Drosophila melanogaster: one gene and its partners. The protein of the gene in region 1 purifies or fractionates together with the protein of each later gene. This does not show direct contact. Each region holds a gene or a part of one and is shown on either strand. Other genes may lie near its edges.

Region 1 (5,403 bases):
TGTTTTTATAGTAACATGTAGTATTTGTTCTAGGCGCATACAATGAATCTGTCTGCTTTGTGGGCCATCTGCTAATCTACCATTCGCAGCACGGTCGTTAGACCTGGCCAATTGGGTTGAGTAAACAAATAGTCACACGCGCTCAGTTTTGGCCCATTAAAGCAAACAGAACCGCGGCAAGGTGAAGACAGAAATGAAACGCAAACAAAGGCAGCAGGAAATAGCAAAATAATATATATATGTTTTAAGGATATATATCCCAGAAAATATATATTTTAGAATAGAAAACTAAAAAGTTGAAATTATCGAACTAACGATCCTCAAGAATAACTATGCAGAAAGATGCGAAAGCAATCGAAAGTTACAACTTTTAAGATTCCATTCTTAGTATAGTGTACAAAAACTAAACGATATCAGATTTAGATTTTAAAATACAATCTATTAAATTAGCTTAGAATGTCTTACCCGGCGCACTTCCATTCGTGCTGGGACCACCATTGAATGCGGGGTTATCCTGTCCACCAGCTGGTCCCTCGCCCGGTTTCCACTTGTCCCGATTATCGATGAGAAACTGTTGTATCGTCACGGGTCCCTCGTAGAAATGCTTATCACCGAACGTCACATCTGTGGAGTTGGTCAGGGCGATGCTGCCAATACCCTGCGTGGCACCGCCCGCCGGCGATGTGGGCGTGGCCACGGCCAGATTACCGTTCAGTATTTGCTTGGCCACAATGCCAGCTTCCAGGGGATTGGGTGGTGGTACTGCCGCCTCACCTGGCGCCACATGGCGACTGATCACCGTTAGACCCTGGTTAAGGTCGCGCAGGTGTGAACTGTTGGGCGGGTAGGTGACCTGGTGACCCAGCTTCTGGACCGTATAATCCTCCGCTTCGGCCTCCGAATCACTATCAATACTACTCGAGTCGATGGCATTATCATCGATGGACACAACGGAAATTGTGGTACTCCGTATGGAAACCGCCGGCGAAGATGTCTTTCCAACATTTTCCGTTGTTATATTGACAGTGTGCTCAACGCTGATACGCTTGGATTCCGTTTTCTCTTCCGATTTCGATTGGAACTGCCCTTCGCCCGTCCCCCGATCTTTGGTCTCCTTCTCCGGCCGGAATGCCGCCACATTATCGTTTAGTATAACGCCCGAGTCTGTGGACGAAGTACTGCAGTTTTTTGGTCCAGTCAACGGATCGTTTACTCTACGTTTCGCATTGGAACATTGGCTCATTTCCGTTTCATTGCTAAAAGGCATGTCGAACTATCGTGACAGTCACGTAACCAGATTGATATTTTCTCTGGATCTCTGAGCGTTATGTGTTAGCCTTCCTATTTAGCAGATTGGGCGGTACATTATTTTTCGTATGGCAAAACGGCTGACTAGGCACAGCTCTCGGCAAACATCACATCATGAGCATCTGCAAATAAGTATACGTTTTTTTTTTTGTTGGTCCCGGTTAACTTGATGATAATAAGCTAGTCAAACGTTGTCAAATTTCGAAGAAATTTTTTGTTTGAATTGGGCTAAAGTGGGCTTAACTTTGGGGAGGCACTTTGGCTTTATGGTGCACTGATTTTTTTATTTTTGATAAAACCACATAATTCCCTTGTGTGCAAGTGTTTTTAGAACATTGATAAATATATGTATATATTTTAACAATGTATTGCTGATATTATATTATGCGATAAGCTAAGTGATATTTATTTGATAGCTTTGAGCATTATTAAACGGTTTGGATAACACACACAATTTAGAAAAATATTTCGTCAGTTCTTTAATACTTTTCAATTACACATGCTTTATAAAAGTGATTTTATTGTTATCACAATCCATTAGATCGTTCAGTTGCAATATGATTTATAAGTACAATCAACGCTTTTAGTTCATGTATACACGATTGTTGATAAGCTCGATTGCCAACAGAGTTTTTAAAACGCGAATAAAAAACGTTGCTGCTGTTGTATGGCAGTGAAGTTTGTATAATTAAGATATAAGGGTATTGAATAGTGCTGGAATATATGTGTATGTATACAGTTGACTTATATTGTATACTCGTCAAATTCGATTCAAATAGTTGGTCAGTAAGCTCGCACGAATGCAAGGCTTATGCAAATTAGCTATAATCATTGACGTAGTCTATTTACTTAAGTGGATTCCGAGAAACACAAAAGTAGTAGTTGTTACCCATACATATGCATGTTATGCTTAATTTTGGATATTCGAAAGCCACGAGTGACGTCTTCAAAAGGCTGAAAGATCATTATGGGCATATGCCGTGACGTCTTGATGATACGTAGATACGAAGGTTTCCGAAGAGGTGTGCCAATTTCAAAACAGTAACTCTATTTTAAAGAATTCCGCGAATTGTGATAAACTCGATAGAATTGAAAGGGTGCCTTGGAGGGTAGCGACTTTATACTTTAGAATCGATGTTCTAGAGAGTTGGCACAGAGCACGCTTTTGAGATAACACCAAATGGAATACACCGAATAACGACAACGGCTACAAATGAGAAACGGAATGGCATTTTGAGTTTACCGAGCGCACCAATACACGTGCACGGGAGCGGCGGCCATTGTCACTAATACACGCACAGATCATCACAATATGGGTGCTCTTTGTTTTGGTTGTATTCTGTTTGGAGAATCGATAATAATTAACAACTCTGATGTTTTACGTGTTTTCAAAATTATCATTAAATATGGCCTATGTGCAAATTAATTGATTTTCGATCGATGTTTCGATAGCATGTTTTCTTTTTCACTTCCACGAATTTCTTTCACTTCCTTTCGTGTTTCGAAAGGCTAATTAACATTCCTGGAACATAAAACGATTGGAGAAACAAACTAGTTTGCACTTAAATATCGATATAATTGCTCAATTATTTGTCACTAGTCATATAATAGGATTATGATTATTTTGCGGTGTGTAATATTCTATATAATCACTCTATATTCTATTCTATATTAACACTTTGCATATCGTTACGCACTTTAAATTGCCGACGAAAACCGTTGCAGCTCGTTTGATATTTGAGCGTCTATACTATATAGCCAATTTGTAAGTCGAACTTTTTATACCGTTTCGCGCCAATTTCGAATCGTTGAGCAGCGGCGCGTTCGAGTGACTCTGATCAACTGAGCGGCGATCAAATCGCAGCGGCCTGAAAAGCTGGAGCGTCTGATATGGCAGCGTGTGGGGAGCGTGTGTGAGGGAGAGCAGATCGCTGAGAAAAAAAAAACAAAGAGAATGATGGGGAGAGAGCGGTCGGCGTTTTTGCGTTTATTTAACCAAAGTTGTTTAATTTGAGTCCGATTTTCAGGCAGTCCAACTTGTTACCGATTTGCATTTTAATAAGTGATTTCTCAAAAGATCTTAAGAGTGCAACTCAAAAGCCTTGTTCCAAAAAACTTCTAAATCGTTTTAGAAAATATAATTTTTTAACATATAGTGTTTACATATTACATAATATGAACGCGTTCTGTTGTATTTTCTATCCTTTTTGTAATCTAGCGTTAACCAATAAAATGCAATGATTTAAATTTTCCTTAAAAAAAACTGTACATTTTAATAACTTATGATAGCGGTACAACTTTTTCTCAATCGAAACTGGTTTAAACGAAAAGCGAGTGATCCCAAGAAACCGAAAGAATTCCGATAACTGCATCTGGCGAGCTGCATATTTCGGTTTTTCCGAGCGTCATTAAGTCGCGGAACCTGTTCTCGATTTCGGGTTTTTTTTTATAAATCTTCCAGATATTAGTCAAATTTATAACGATACCTCCAGCTACGCCCCGTGGCTCGAGAATGGTCTCTCCAACTTCTCCCACCTGACGATGACTGTTTGTTTTTGTTTAGTTGTTTAGTCGTCCGCACCGACATCGACACAGACAAATCGGCGTATACGTATTATATATGTACATATGTATGTATATAAATATATATATTTTTTATTTATTCAACCAATAAACAACACAAATCTCCGGCTCTCTCCCGTCTACCAAAACACTTACAGACATTGCAGTGTGGGCAAAAATGTGAACATTTTAAATTGCGCTACCATTTCCGAGAATTGTTTTGTTTTGCGGCCCGCAATCGGTTTTTGGCTATTTCACTTTGTGGTACAGGCCAGTTATATATATATATATGTATACATATGTACATGTGTACATAGCTCTTTTTTTTCTCTTCCAATTCCAGCTTGACCCATTGTACTTGTGTTGAAAAATATTTAATGTAATTATAGGCGAACGGCGGTTCGGCGATCTCTGATAGTCTGAAAAGGGCGCCGGGAAACTGTTGATGGATAAAACGTAAAGAGCAACAAATTGGCGAAACGAATTCCGAACACGCTTACAGAAAAGAAAAATAAAAATATAATTATAAGTGGAAAGCGCAACGAGCTTTAATCGAAATAGTTGTAGACTATTTATAATATTTTTTCTCTCAGTGTTCCTGACTTACTGATAAGCTTGTTGAGTGGCCTTTAAAATGTATTATTTTATTGCAGTTAAAGTTCTACACCGAAACATCTAATGATTTATGCCTTTTGTAGCCAGGCAATCTATTCTTTGTTGACCCATTATTTTATTGCGAAAAATGCCAGTAATTATTGTAAATCATTTCCAATGAAGCAGATAATAATTTCTTTACAACGGTTGCGAAATCAATCACCATAGCTATTTTAATATACCTACCTCCACATATTTTCTTACCTTAATTATTATTAATTATTTTTACTTTTTTGGTTCCCTCTTCGCATATGTGTTTTTTTCTTCTTCTTTTTGGTTTTTACACGTGCCGTACTCTCGTCATTGTTTTGGCCAAAAATTCGTTCCGCGTTGTAGGTATAATTTTTTTTTTAAGGCGCCGTGAGATTAATTAGTCAATGAATGTATGTACGTCACTCTTTTGGGCAGGTTGGACTTTAGGTCATTGATGAAAAGAGGGTTAAAAGGCACACCCACTAGTTTATTAGCTTTCCATGTCGTCATAGTTTCAGCTCATCATTTGATGCGCAAGTTAAAAACATAAACATTTCGAAGGAGTTTCTTTTTTTTTTTACCAATATAAATCATCGAACGTACTTCTCTGTTGAGGGCTTTGAACTGAAGGTCGGTGATGATAGCAGATCTTATTGGCAAATATCCATTTCATTTTTAATATATTTCTCTGCTATTACCAGTCTTCCTGTAAATAGGATTGTAATGACTCCATATGATAACAAAAATAAAACATCATTATTATCATTGTACATATATTCACGTTGAAAGGCAGATAAATGACAAAGGCAGCCACAGCGATCACAACATCGTCTATATAAGTGAAGTGAAGTGAAGCTACCGATAATGATGTTGTACTGGCGCACAAAGGCTCTCATATATTTACAC
Region 2 (5,024 bases), 1.7 Mb from region 1:
GTTGCGCGACTCGTAAACGAAATAAGTTTTCGTTTTCTGCTCGAGTTCTTGTTATGGAATTTAAGCAAGTTGTCATAAAAATGTCGCCTCCTAGTCCGCTCCCGTTCGCCCAATCTGACACGCCCCCCAATTTCGAAATTCGGTGGGTGGTGGTGGTGTGTGGGGAGCCGGCGGTGGAAGGCAGAAGGAGGTGTCAATCCGCAGTGCAAAGTTACTCGAAATCCAAATCCACACTGTGGTTGCAGTTGCAGGCAACTTTTGCTCTTTCCTGTTTCGTGGAAAAGCCTTGGGGGGGCGGTCGACTGGGGGAAATGGGGGGCGTGGCAGGCAGCAGATGTTGCAGAATTGCGTGCAAATTGTTGCTGTTGTTAGCCACAACTTTCCGGGCTTGCACGATTGACACCTTTTGGGAATTTGCGACAGCTTTAACGGAGCCTGCAGTTTAATTTGTTTGCTGTCCAGAAATGGAAGGCCTACTCTTCATCATCTTGCAACATCATAATCACCATCACCATCGTCAACATCATGGAATCTCCACGTTTTCCCTGCAATTTAATAGATGGCTTTGTATGCCAACGACAGTGGGTAAAATGGAAAATGGAAAAGGAAAATGCAAAAGGCGGGAAAGCGAAGGAAAACTAAACGTGCCCAATGCGCGATTTCAGTGAATTCGCATAAAAACTTTCGCCCTAAACTTGTGCAAGTTCTTTTAATTTTAATTAAACGGATGAGCAGCAATTAGCGAAATAAATCTGACAATTTTGCAAATGAGCCAACTTGGCGCCCCAAAAATTGCATCCAAATGCGGGACAGATTAAATTGAGACTATGGAAGTGGCGAAAAAAATATGTTTTTCTCTGCAGGACATTGGAAAACTCCTACTAATAAAAAAAAAACAATTCGAATAACCAAACAACACGGATTTTTTGAGGGAGCCGATTTGCGGAGGGGTGCTCCCAACTCAGAACTCACTTAAATTCAAGTTAACGGCGAGTTTTTCCCGCCACCAGCTGGTTTTTCCAGCCGCGCATAGTTTTGGCTTCGGTTTTTGGTTTTAGCCCGGCTTTTTCGGGTTTTCTGGATGTTGCGGCTTAGCTCTCCCCACCACTCTCCCCTCAACTCTCATCCCTTTTCCATCGCATTTTATATTCATTTTGGCTTTTAATTGAGGGCGCTTACTTGCATTTTCGTTGTCACTTTGCGACTTCACTTCCTCATCACGCCCTTTTTTGGGGGCTTAATGGCCTGCACTCCGCTTTGTTTTTTGCAGTTTTTGCATTTAATTGCAAAAGTTTTTTAATTAAATCACTGCCTAGAACATCTGTGTCAAGTTGAGGTTTCTGTGGGCTCGTATTAACTGGCATAAAATAGGGATAAATCGGGGGGCCTCAATACATTTAAGGGAAATACGCGGTATAAAGTGTACCATTAGATAGTGGATGTTCAGATTGAAATTGCAATATAAAGTTGTACATGTACATTAGTGTACACAACACACTAAATTATGCGTACAATTATTTTCAAACCAATTATTTTAATTAGGTAAAAAATTAAAACTTACTTACCTTACTTTCTCTGTATTTATACATATTAATCATATTTATCTTTTAAGAATACAGGCTTCCTGTATAAGCATTTCACTATTTTTATACATACATACTTATGTATGCATGTACATACATATGTATGTACATGTATATATCAAACACACACAAAACACATAAAGAAAAAACAAAAAAAAAAAAATAATAATAACCGAAACCAAAGCTTTGCTTTATTCATTCATTCGCTATTAAGTAGTATTTCACAATTGTTTTAAGCTGACCTATGTATGTAAAAAATCATTCTACGTTGCCGTTGTGTAGAATCTAACTATTAAAATAACTGTTTAAAGTTAGTTTAATAAGTAAAGGAGGTAATAGTATACAAACAGAACGTACTTCCGCGCACACTAAAAAAACAGAACTGCTGCAAAAGAAGAGACCGAAATATATTCGATTAAAGAAAGCAAGACGAAATAACGGCACTTGCGCGAAAGCACGCTCTTTCTTTGGTTATGACTCACAATTCGGCGAGTAATTCGATCGCATCAAACACTTACGTTTGTTTACAGAGAGGCAATTGATTACAGTTAGTTCTTGCTCGAAGGCAGGCTTACAAGCTAGAAATAGCGGCACTTGCGCGAATGCTCACTTTTTCGGCTTCTTTTCTATTGTCGATATTACACGCAATTCAACGCTTAATTCGATCGCATTAAAAGAAATCAGTTATTGAAACGCGTAAAAATAGTGCGGTTTAATTATAGTTTGTGTCAGATTGGGATTATAACTAAATAAATACGAGTGTTCCGGTAAAATTAATATTACATCCCGCCAAAGAAAAACATCAAATCAACATGCTGTAAAAATGCTCAATCTGCTGATTCGCGAGTGTTAGTGTAAAATAAGTAAGAACTATGAAATAATCTAAAGCAGCAAATTTTTATTTAATAATTCACAAGAACGTGGTAAGTGATTTAAGTTCTATGTACATTTTACACTTTTTATTACATATATGTCCCCCTTGTGGTGGCCTTGTAGTTTTTAGGGGAATTTCGCTTGGCAAATTTTACCCATTTAGAAAAATTCTGAGAGAACGATATATTGCTATGCTAGTTGTTCTTATAATCGTTACCCCCTGTCAATTATCTATCACTGGCAAGAAAAATCCCCCTCATATATGTATGATACATTCATTTATATGGGGTCGGATGACTATCTCCTTGGGGGCACTCCCCTTATCAGCGGCAATAGGTGCCGCAGCCCATAAGATCCCAACCCAGTCAGTTGACAGACACGCAAGTGGAATGACTTGGATCGGTTTGCTCATCGTTGGCCTCACAGCAATCGCTGTCCAGGGGGAAGTACCGATCGTGACGAGGGCCGAGTGGAATGCCAAACCGCCGAACGGAGCCATAGACAGCATGGAAACTCCCTTGCCACGTGCTGTGATCGCCCATACAGCTGGAGGAGCTTGTGCGGATGATGTTACATGCTCCCAGCACATGCAAAATCTGCAAAACTTCCAGATGTCCAAGCAAAAGTTCTCGGACATTGGCTACCACTATCTGATCGGCGGTAATGGCAAGGTATACGAAGGCAGAAGTCCAAGCCAGAGAGGAGCCTTTGCCGGTCCCAATAACGATGGTTCCCTGGGCATTGCGTTTATTGGTAACTTCGAAGAACGGGCGCCCAACAAGGAGGCCTTGGATGCCGCCAAGGAGCTGCTGGAGCAGGCTGTCAAACAGGCTCAGCTGGTGGAGGGCTATAAGTTACTGGGCCATCGTCAAGTCAGTGCTACCAAGAGTCCTGGAGAAGCACTCTACGCTCTGATACAGCAGTGGCCCAACTGGTCCGAAGAAATGTGAAATATAGAGTGTGCATTGCATAAGGTTTCGACACGTAAAGACCACTCCTTACACATTTATTTGTAAATATAATTATGTATAATTTGTTTTTTTTTTTTTTGCTTAAATACGAATACTAAAATTTTAATTTTGTTGATCTGTTTCCGATGTACTTCTTCGACTTCGCACATTTTTGTCAGCTGCCGCTTTTTTTTTTTTTTACTTTTTTGTTTGTTGCCAGACCCGTTTAATAAGCAGGCCGCTCCCCAGGAGCAGTGCACTGGGCCACAATAGAGATTTGAGACATCACATAGCATCATTCACCGAACCGGAACTTCCGCAAGAAACTAAGCTAACTATACAGAACCCTAGATGAAGCACGGAACGCAGATGGAACGAACGTGAACATAGTCGTAGTCGTAATGGTATGCAGTAGATAATGCGCCAAACGAGAGAGGTAAACAAAAGTCGGCAACGTGGCAACAGATGCTGTTACAGATTACAGATTTAGAAAATATAAAACAAGGAACTATACAAAATTCGTAAAGTACTTAGGTAAATTGCACTAATATAAACTCCCATTTGAACTGCCGCTCGCACTGTCTGTACTGCCGACAATGCTGCCATTTCCGCTCATATTACCATTGCCAATTCCTATGCCAATACCGCTTCCGTTTCCGCTCTGTTGGGCAAAGTCCAGCTGGAGCAGCCAGTTCCTCTTAGCCAGACCTTCGGGCGTCTCGCCACGCTGCGTACACAGCGGCTGGAAGCAGGTGGTCAGTCCAACGCTGGGCGTGAACTCCGCCCGTTCGCGTAACTCCTCCTCGGTGGCCAGCATGATGCAATCGTCGTCAATTTCATCGCTATCGACACTGTAGGCCAGCTGCTGCTGCTCTGCCCTTTGCTGCACGATGCTGTCGCTGGTGCGCCGAAATGAGTCGTCCGTCTTGCGCAGGAAATTGTACAGCGCCACACAGCCGAGCACCACTTCGCGGATGTGCTTGTCACTGATGCGCAGCGGCTGCGCCAGAATGGGGAACATGTTACACAGTATCCGCATCGTTTGATCCGCATGGGCATTGACCTGCTCCAGGGCCTCCAGTACGGCCAGATCCTTGGGCAGGTTGCGTGTGGTCACCAGATACGAGGTGGCAGGCAGTACCGAATCGCCAGCAAAGTAATAGCCCTGTCGGTCCATCTCCGCCGACTGTTGTTCCTCCAGAGCGTGCATCTTGTGCCTAATCAGCTCGATGGCACTGGTCTGGTTATAGATGTCATTGGGTCGGCTGCTCGCCGCCCTTTCCACCCTTGCGTACTGGAAATTGTTGTCGGCATCCACAATGCCCGTGAAGATGACGGTCGCGCGCTTGCGATCGTCGCCAACGGCGGATGCGCTGCTCGCCGCTCCGGAACTCGAAGCGGTCCCAGAGCCTTGGAGTTGGATGCTGCGCATGAACAGATTGCCCACACAGTGGGGCAGGTTGTGCTTACGCTCCATCTCCTCGGCGGCGCTGCGCCACTGATCGTCAGTCTTTGGTAGTGTCACGTATTGGTCCTTGAGGTGCTCGTAGAAGCCCAGACAGATATTGGCAATCATTTCGTTTATCACAAATTTCGAGGCACGGAAGCAGTAGTTTCG
Region 3 (5,403 bases), on another chromosome or scaffold:
GCTTGATCTTGTCTTCCAGGCAATTCACGTTCACGTTGGGGCAGTCCTCCTCCAGCTGCTTCATGTTGGCCCCCTTGCGACCGATCACATACTTGTGGATCCAATGTGCCGCATTGATCTCCACAGACTTGACCGAGTTGGACTTTTGGTAGACAACGGTTAGGGCATTTCCCAAAGCCACTTGCGGCCCACGCAAAGTGATCGTCTCCGAGGGGGAGTCATTGGGAGGCATCTCTACAGACACACCGGTCAACTGCAGAATCTCGGCGATGGTGGAGCCCTTCGGACCAATGACATATCGGTGCTTGGGCTTAGCTACCTCCACACTGACGGTAGAGCACTTCTTTTCCATATCCTTGTAAATGGCCTCCACCTTGGCCTTTGCCGCTGCGACCGCGTCCTTCTCGCCCGAGATGACGATCTCGTCCTTCTGAACCTGCTGCGGCGGCACGTTGATCCTAGCGCCGGTCTCCTCCTGCAGCTTATTTAGGTTCTCGCTGTAGGGGCCCACGATGAAGGGATGGTAAACTTTGGGCACCGTGATGCGGTCCGATGACTTCTTGTACTGCTCGGCTGACAGCTGACGGATCTCCTGCTCGGCCTGGGCAATACCCTCCTTGGTTCCGGCAATCGTGATAAACTCGCTCTCATCGCTCTGGCTGGGGATGTTGATGCGCGTCGCAGTAACACGCTCGATTTCGCGCAGCCGTTGGCCACCCTTGCCGAGGATGACGCGGAAGTGCTCCCGAGGAACGGTCACCTGCCGACTGGCCTGAGTGGAGAAGCCCATAAGAATCTTACGGCGGGCATCGAGCAGCTCGCTCTGCTTGCCCTTAATCAGGAAGGTCAGCGACTGGTTCTTGCCGCTCACAATCTCGATCTGGGCTCCGGTCTCCTTGGTGATCTGCTGGCAAATACGCTTCGACTCGCCTTCGCCAAACTTCTCCGACTCCGTGGACTTGCGCTCCTTGCAGGGAACATGCACAATCTGTTACAAAAAAAATTGAAATCCATAGAATCAGAACCAAATCAATGTATGTCTTTTTCGAGCTTACATGAGTTTTTTGGGAACTCGTCACACGAGCTAGAGTCGAACCGGAAGCTCCGGATTGCGATTGAGCCGAAGTGTTGGCCGGCAGGGCCGGAAACAGGTCGTCGTAGCTAAAGGCGGGTGTGGCATTGCCAGTTCCGCCGCTAGTGGTACTAGTGGGCGTGGCCACTGAAGTTGGCGAGGATGGTTGCTGCTCGTTGGCCACCTGCTCTTGGCCATTAATGAGAGCGATGGGCTGCTGCTCGATGGTAGTTGCTGCATGATGATTTTGGTTAACAATTGCTTGATAATATTTAGCCTTCGAAGAACTCACCGTTGTTAGTTTCCTCCATCACTGCTGCTGCTTGCATTACTTAAAAAAAGAGAAAAGTCCTTTTTCGTTCCAAGTCGTTTACAGTACACTGAAATTGAAAAGTAGAAGATATCTTATCAAGTGCATTAAAACGTTTACATCATACTGGACCCTATAAATGAACCTTGTTTATCAGCCAGCGATAAAGCAAACAACCAGGAAGGAAAAATTTCTAGGGGATTATCGAAGTGCTGGTCGATCAATCAAAGAACAAATAGTTAAATGGCATTCTTATTTTGGCAAACATGGATTAAAATAGGCCCGTTTAGCTACAGTTTTCATCTGTTTCTGTTGTCAGTCGCCCGCAGACTTACCAAAATCGCAGATAGTTGATAAGTGCGACCTCCGAGGACCCGCATTTGGCTGCGACCAACTGATAAGGAACTACATAAGTACATACACACTTTAGGACCGCTTGGCTACAGTAAACAAATTAGTACAAAGATAATTCATTGGATATGCGGCGTGACTTATGTACAGGAAATCTAACAAGTTGCGTTACTATTGCTTTCTTATAAAAACGTCAAAAGTTTGCAATTTTTTGTTTGCTGTTTTCCATTTCTTCTTAATTTGTGAATGGAAGAAATTTCCAATAACATCCAATACTACATTTAATAAAATATCTATTAAATTAGATCATAAATTATTCATTGAATTCACCTCTGTAGCTTATATTCGTAAAGTTTCCTTCGACTGAATGCAGAATCATTCCGGGAAACCATGTTGCATGCCCCACTGTAAACAGTGCGTGTCCAAAGGGGGTGCATGAAATGGATTTTCTGGCGTTGATAAACCGAAATAGTCTCTTTTCAAACGAGCTTTCTGCACCACAGCCTGAAACTAAGGCCACGTAGTGCTTGGATCTGCGAGATGAGTGCTCGACACAACTCTCCGCTTTTCGGTGGTGATAAGTGGACGCGGCCGATGGGCCACGCAGGCAGATTCCGGGGCTGAGTGATAACTATCGGCCGTTCTGGCTGATAAGCTCAGTCGTCCGATTGCCACCAAGATATTGTGGTACGTACACACACAAACACACAATGCTACAAGTGCGCTTTCCGAAATTTAGGCTGCTATCAGTCGGATTTCGATTGGGTGAAAGGTTGGGGCCTCGCGAATGAGAAAGAGAGATCTCAGCCGAGGAGCAGCAGAGACCATGCACTTGTTCGACCAAAGCTGTTTTCTAAATCCATGCCCAACGAGTTTTCGTAGCCTACATTTTCCTCTCTACCGAAAGAACAACAAAGATATGTCTGTCTCCTCTCTGTTAGTTGTGTCTTTGTATGTGCGGACAGCGGCGGTGGCAGGGTATGTGTAAAGGGGGCCTCTTACTTTTAAATCATACGGTTTTGTAAATTTCAATGAAAGCTTAATACATTTATATATTACAGATAACAATGACAACTGCAAGTGACACCAGATCATTATCCCTAACATTTAATAATAGTTTTTCATTTCAGAATTAATTTCCCAAAAAAATAATCACCTAACGACGAATCTGTTTGTGCTCATGAAAAATGTGTCAAATACAGAGACAAGAGCACGAGAGCGACAGGAACAGGGAGAGGAGAGAGCGAGAGCTTGACGAAGTAACTTAACGGAGCAGGGGAGCAGCTCCATATAAAACCGGATGATAGCCGGCAACTACAACAAAACGATCGAGCAGTGCCAGTGGTGTATTGTATGCATGTGAGTGTGCTGTGCCTGTGTGCCTGCACATTTCTGTGTCGCTCTTTTTCTTCTTCGGGAATACGGTTGTGTGTGTGTGTTGCCACCTTTCGAGAAGGCACAGGTAAAAAACGAAAACAAGCAACATACCTACATAGCAAATACCATCGTTCATACGTTCGTATGTGACGCCTGCAGCGACGCTGACGTCGACAAATGAAGACAAAGCACAATAACAATGCGCTAAAGTTCAGCTTTAAACAAAAAACCAAAAAAAAAAAAAACATATATACAAAATTGGTATGCACATATCGGATGGATTCTTGTTTCTGTAATTTCGATACAAAGATCCCAAAGACCAAAAAAAGAAAAGCTTGACGTAGTCAGTTTTAGGCATGAAACCGTTAACTTGGACGACATTTGTTGTCTTTTTTTTGGCAAAACACTTGTGTAAAATGTTAAACTATGCAAATTAACTCTAGGCAAAGGTTGTTCAACTTACGGTACTGTAAAATCCAAAAAATCCGGCCGAGTTTACTCTCCTTTGACCAAATCCAGTTTGATAACTTGGGTGTCTGCTGGAAAAGCCGAAAAACAATTGCTTAAAATTAATGCAATTAGCGGATGCAGAAGATCGGATCGTGGCATCACCAGGATGAATGCCCTACAAATCATTTAGTCAGTCATTCTGCGTTATGCACATCCCCAATAGAAAGTCTAATGTTATTTGTCGCAGAGAGCGCGTTGTTGCAGAGAGCACGGTGAAGGAAGGGGAGGGGGGCAGCATATGCGGGCCACTTATTGGACAATTGTTTTTGTGGCAGCAGCGGAGGCAAAATTGGAGCAGCGCGTGGGCGTGTTTGTGTGCGTCTGTGTGTGTGTGTGAGAGTATGGAAATGCGGAAATCAGTGCCGTATGCTTTCCAGGTGAAAGGTTGTGTGGATCCTCTTTTCCGGCACGGGGCGGGGCCTTAACTCTGCCTCCCCCTCTCGAAAAATAGGAAAATTAAAGTAAAAAAAAATAAAAGGCAGCACGCGCGCCTTCCAATCGGACAAATATGCTTATATATGCACGCTCACACGTATGCACGGGATTTTACGTCCCTATGTGAGCGTGTGGGTCGTCGACGTCGCCGACTTTTGTGACTGTGTGGGTGAGCGCGAGTGCGCCGTCCGTGTGTATTATCAACCATTGAAAAACACGTTGTTTTTCGCCGACCGCACACAAATTTGAAGAAAAATTAGCGGCCCGAATTTTCTTTCATCGTTTTTTTTAATTCGCCACTGCCGTCTCTTCTTCTTCTGCTTGCTCTGCCGTCGCCGCCCCACCGCTGCCGGCCCTTTATAACTGTAAATCCGTGCACTCTCTTTCGCTCGCCGCAACTTATGCAATTCCGGCTGCAATTATACCGCCGCACGGATCACCGAGCAATGTGAGTTGATTTTCGCACTGGAATCTTGGTAAATTCACACCCAGACTTTCTATTGGAAGGCAGAACGCACGGACGCGGAACTCAACGTTACCGACTCCAAGTAAAATGTGAATGAACATGAGCGAACGTGGCAAATAGAGATGGGCGATACGCCGCAGCGGGTGCAGGGTTGTCGCTCTTACCAATCGCAAGCGCGAACTGTCAAATCGAACTATCGACTATTGGGTCTATTACCATGGCCTTCTTTTGGGGATTTTCAAAAATTAATTAAAGAATTATTCAATAGTAACAATAAAAAAAATATATTAAAAAAAAACTTAGACAACAAACACCAGTTTTTAAAGATGATAATCGTTATTATGGGGGTTTCCTTATATGCAAATTAATAAAGATTAGATATAAATGCTTAAATTTTTTCCTTATATGCACATAATGATTAAGAATTAAAATTCAAATGTTAAGTTTTGTATGTTAGTCAAATATAATTGATTTTTTCAATCAGACGGAAAAGACAAGAAATGCTATTTAGTTGAATTTCTTAATAAAACTAAAAATTTTTAGTTGTAAGTGAAATATCGGTTGATAATCGGCTCGGAATATCGATAGTCAGGTCCATCCTTGGCCTACCACCACCAAATTGAAAAAGAGCAAAGAAACACAAAGGCAAAAAACTCCCCAATCTGTGGAATTTCCGGAAGCGAGAGCACATTCAAAGCTACCAGTTATCAGCGAGCAGCATGTCAAAGCTCAGGAACCTGTTGCCCACAATCTTTGGCGGGAAGGAGGCACAGAATCCGACACCCGTCGAGGGACGCCTGGAAAAGGACGCAGCTCCCGTGGACGACAACGAACCAGATAACAACAACAGCGGAGCCCTGGCGCTGCCCTCCACCGCTGGCA

What was found.
Region 2: the proteins of PGRP-LC (region 1) and PGRP-SD purify together in Drosophila melanogaster (affinity purification with western blotting, with the first as the bait; one study listed by BioGRID). This does not show direct contact.
Region 3: the proteins of PGRP-LC (region 1) and imd purify together in Drosophila melanogaster (affinity purification with western blotting, with the first as the bait; 3 studies listed by BioGRID). This does not show direct contact.

The regions. Positions count from the first base shown.
Region 1 is NT_037436.4:9,338,192-9,343,594, reverse strand, and holds the start of PGRP-LC (peptidoglycan recognition protein LC), read right to left. Parts: upstream 3,158-5,403; 5' UTR 3,006-3,157; intron 1,431-3,005; 5' UTR 1,268-1,430; coding exon 466-1,267; intron 1-465. UniProt on the Drosophila melanogaster protein: Major activator of the imd/Relish pathway and is likely to encode a pattern recognition molecule for the humoral immune response. Required for Relish processing and nuclear translocation following proteolytic cleavage.
Region 2 is NT_037436.4:7,648,360-7,653,383, forward strand, and holds PGRP-SD (peptidoglycan recognition protein SD), read left to right. Parts: upstream 1-2,820; 5' UTR 2,821-2,845; coding exon 2,846-3,406; 3' UTR 3,407-3,541; downstream 3,542-5,024. Other genes in the region: CG7492 (uncharacterized protein), read right to left, coding at 3,951-5,024. UniProt on the Drosophila melanogaster protein: Peptidoglycan-recognition protein that plays a key role in innate immunity by binding to peptidoglycans (PGN) of Gram-positive bacteria and activating the Toll pathway. Has no activity against on Gram-negative bacteria and fungi.
Region 3 is NT_033778.4:18,411,248-18,416,650, reverse strand, and holds the start of imd (immune deficiency), read left to right. Parts: upstream 1-3,051; 5' UTR 3,052-3,195; intron 3,196-3,221; exon of another isoform or gene 3,222-3,325; intron 3,326-3,573; exon of another isoform or gene 3,574-3,803; intron 3,804-4,294; exon of another isoform or gene 4,295-4,624; intron 4,625-5,064; 5' UTR 5,065-5,240; coding exon 5,241-5,403. Other genes in the region: Dp1 (Dodeca-satellite-binding protein 1), read right to left, coding at 1-988, 1,056-1,306, 1,365-1,401.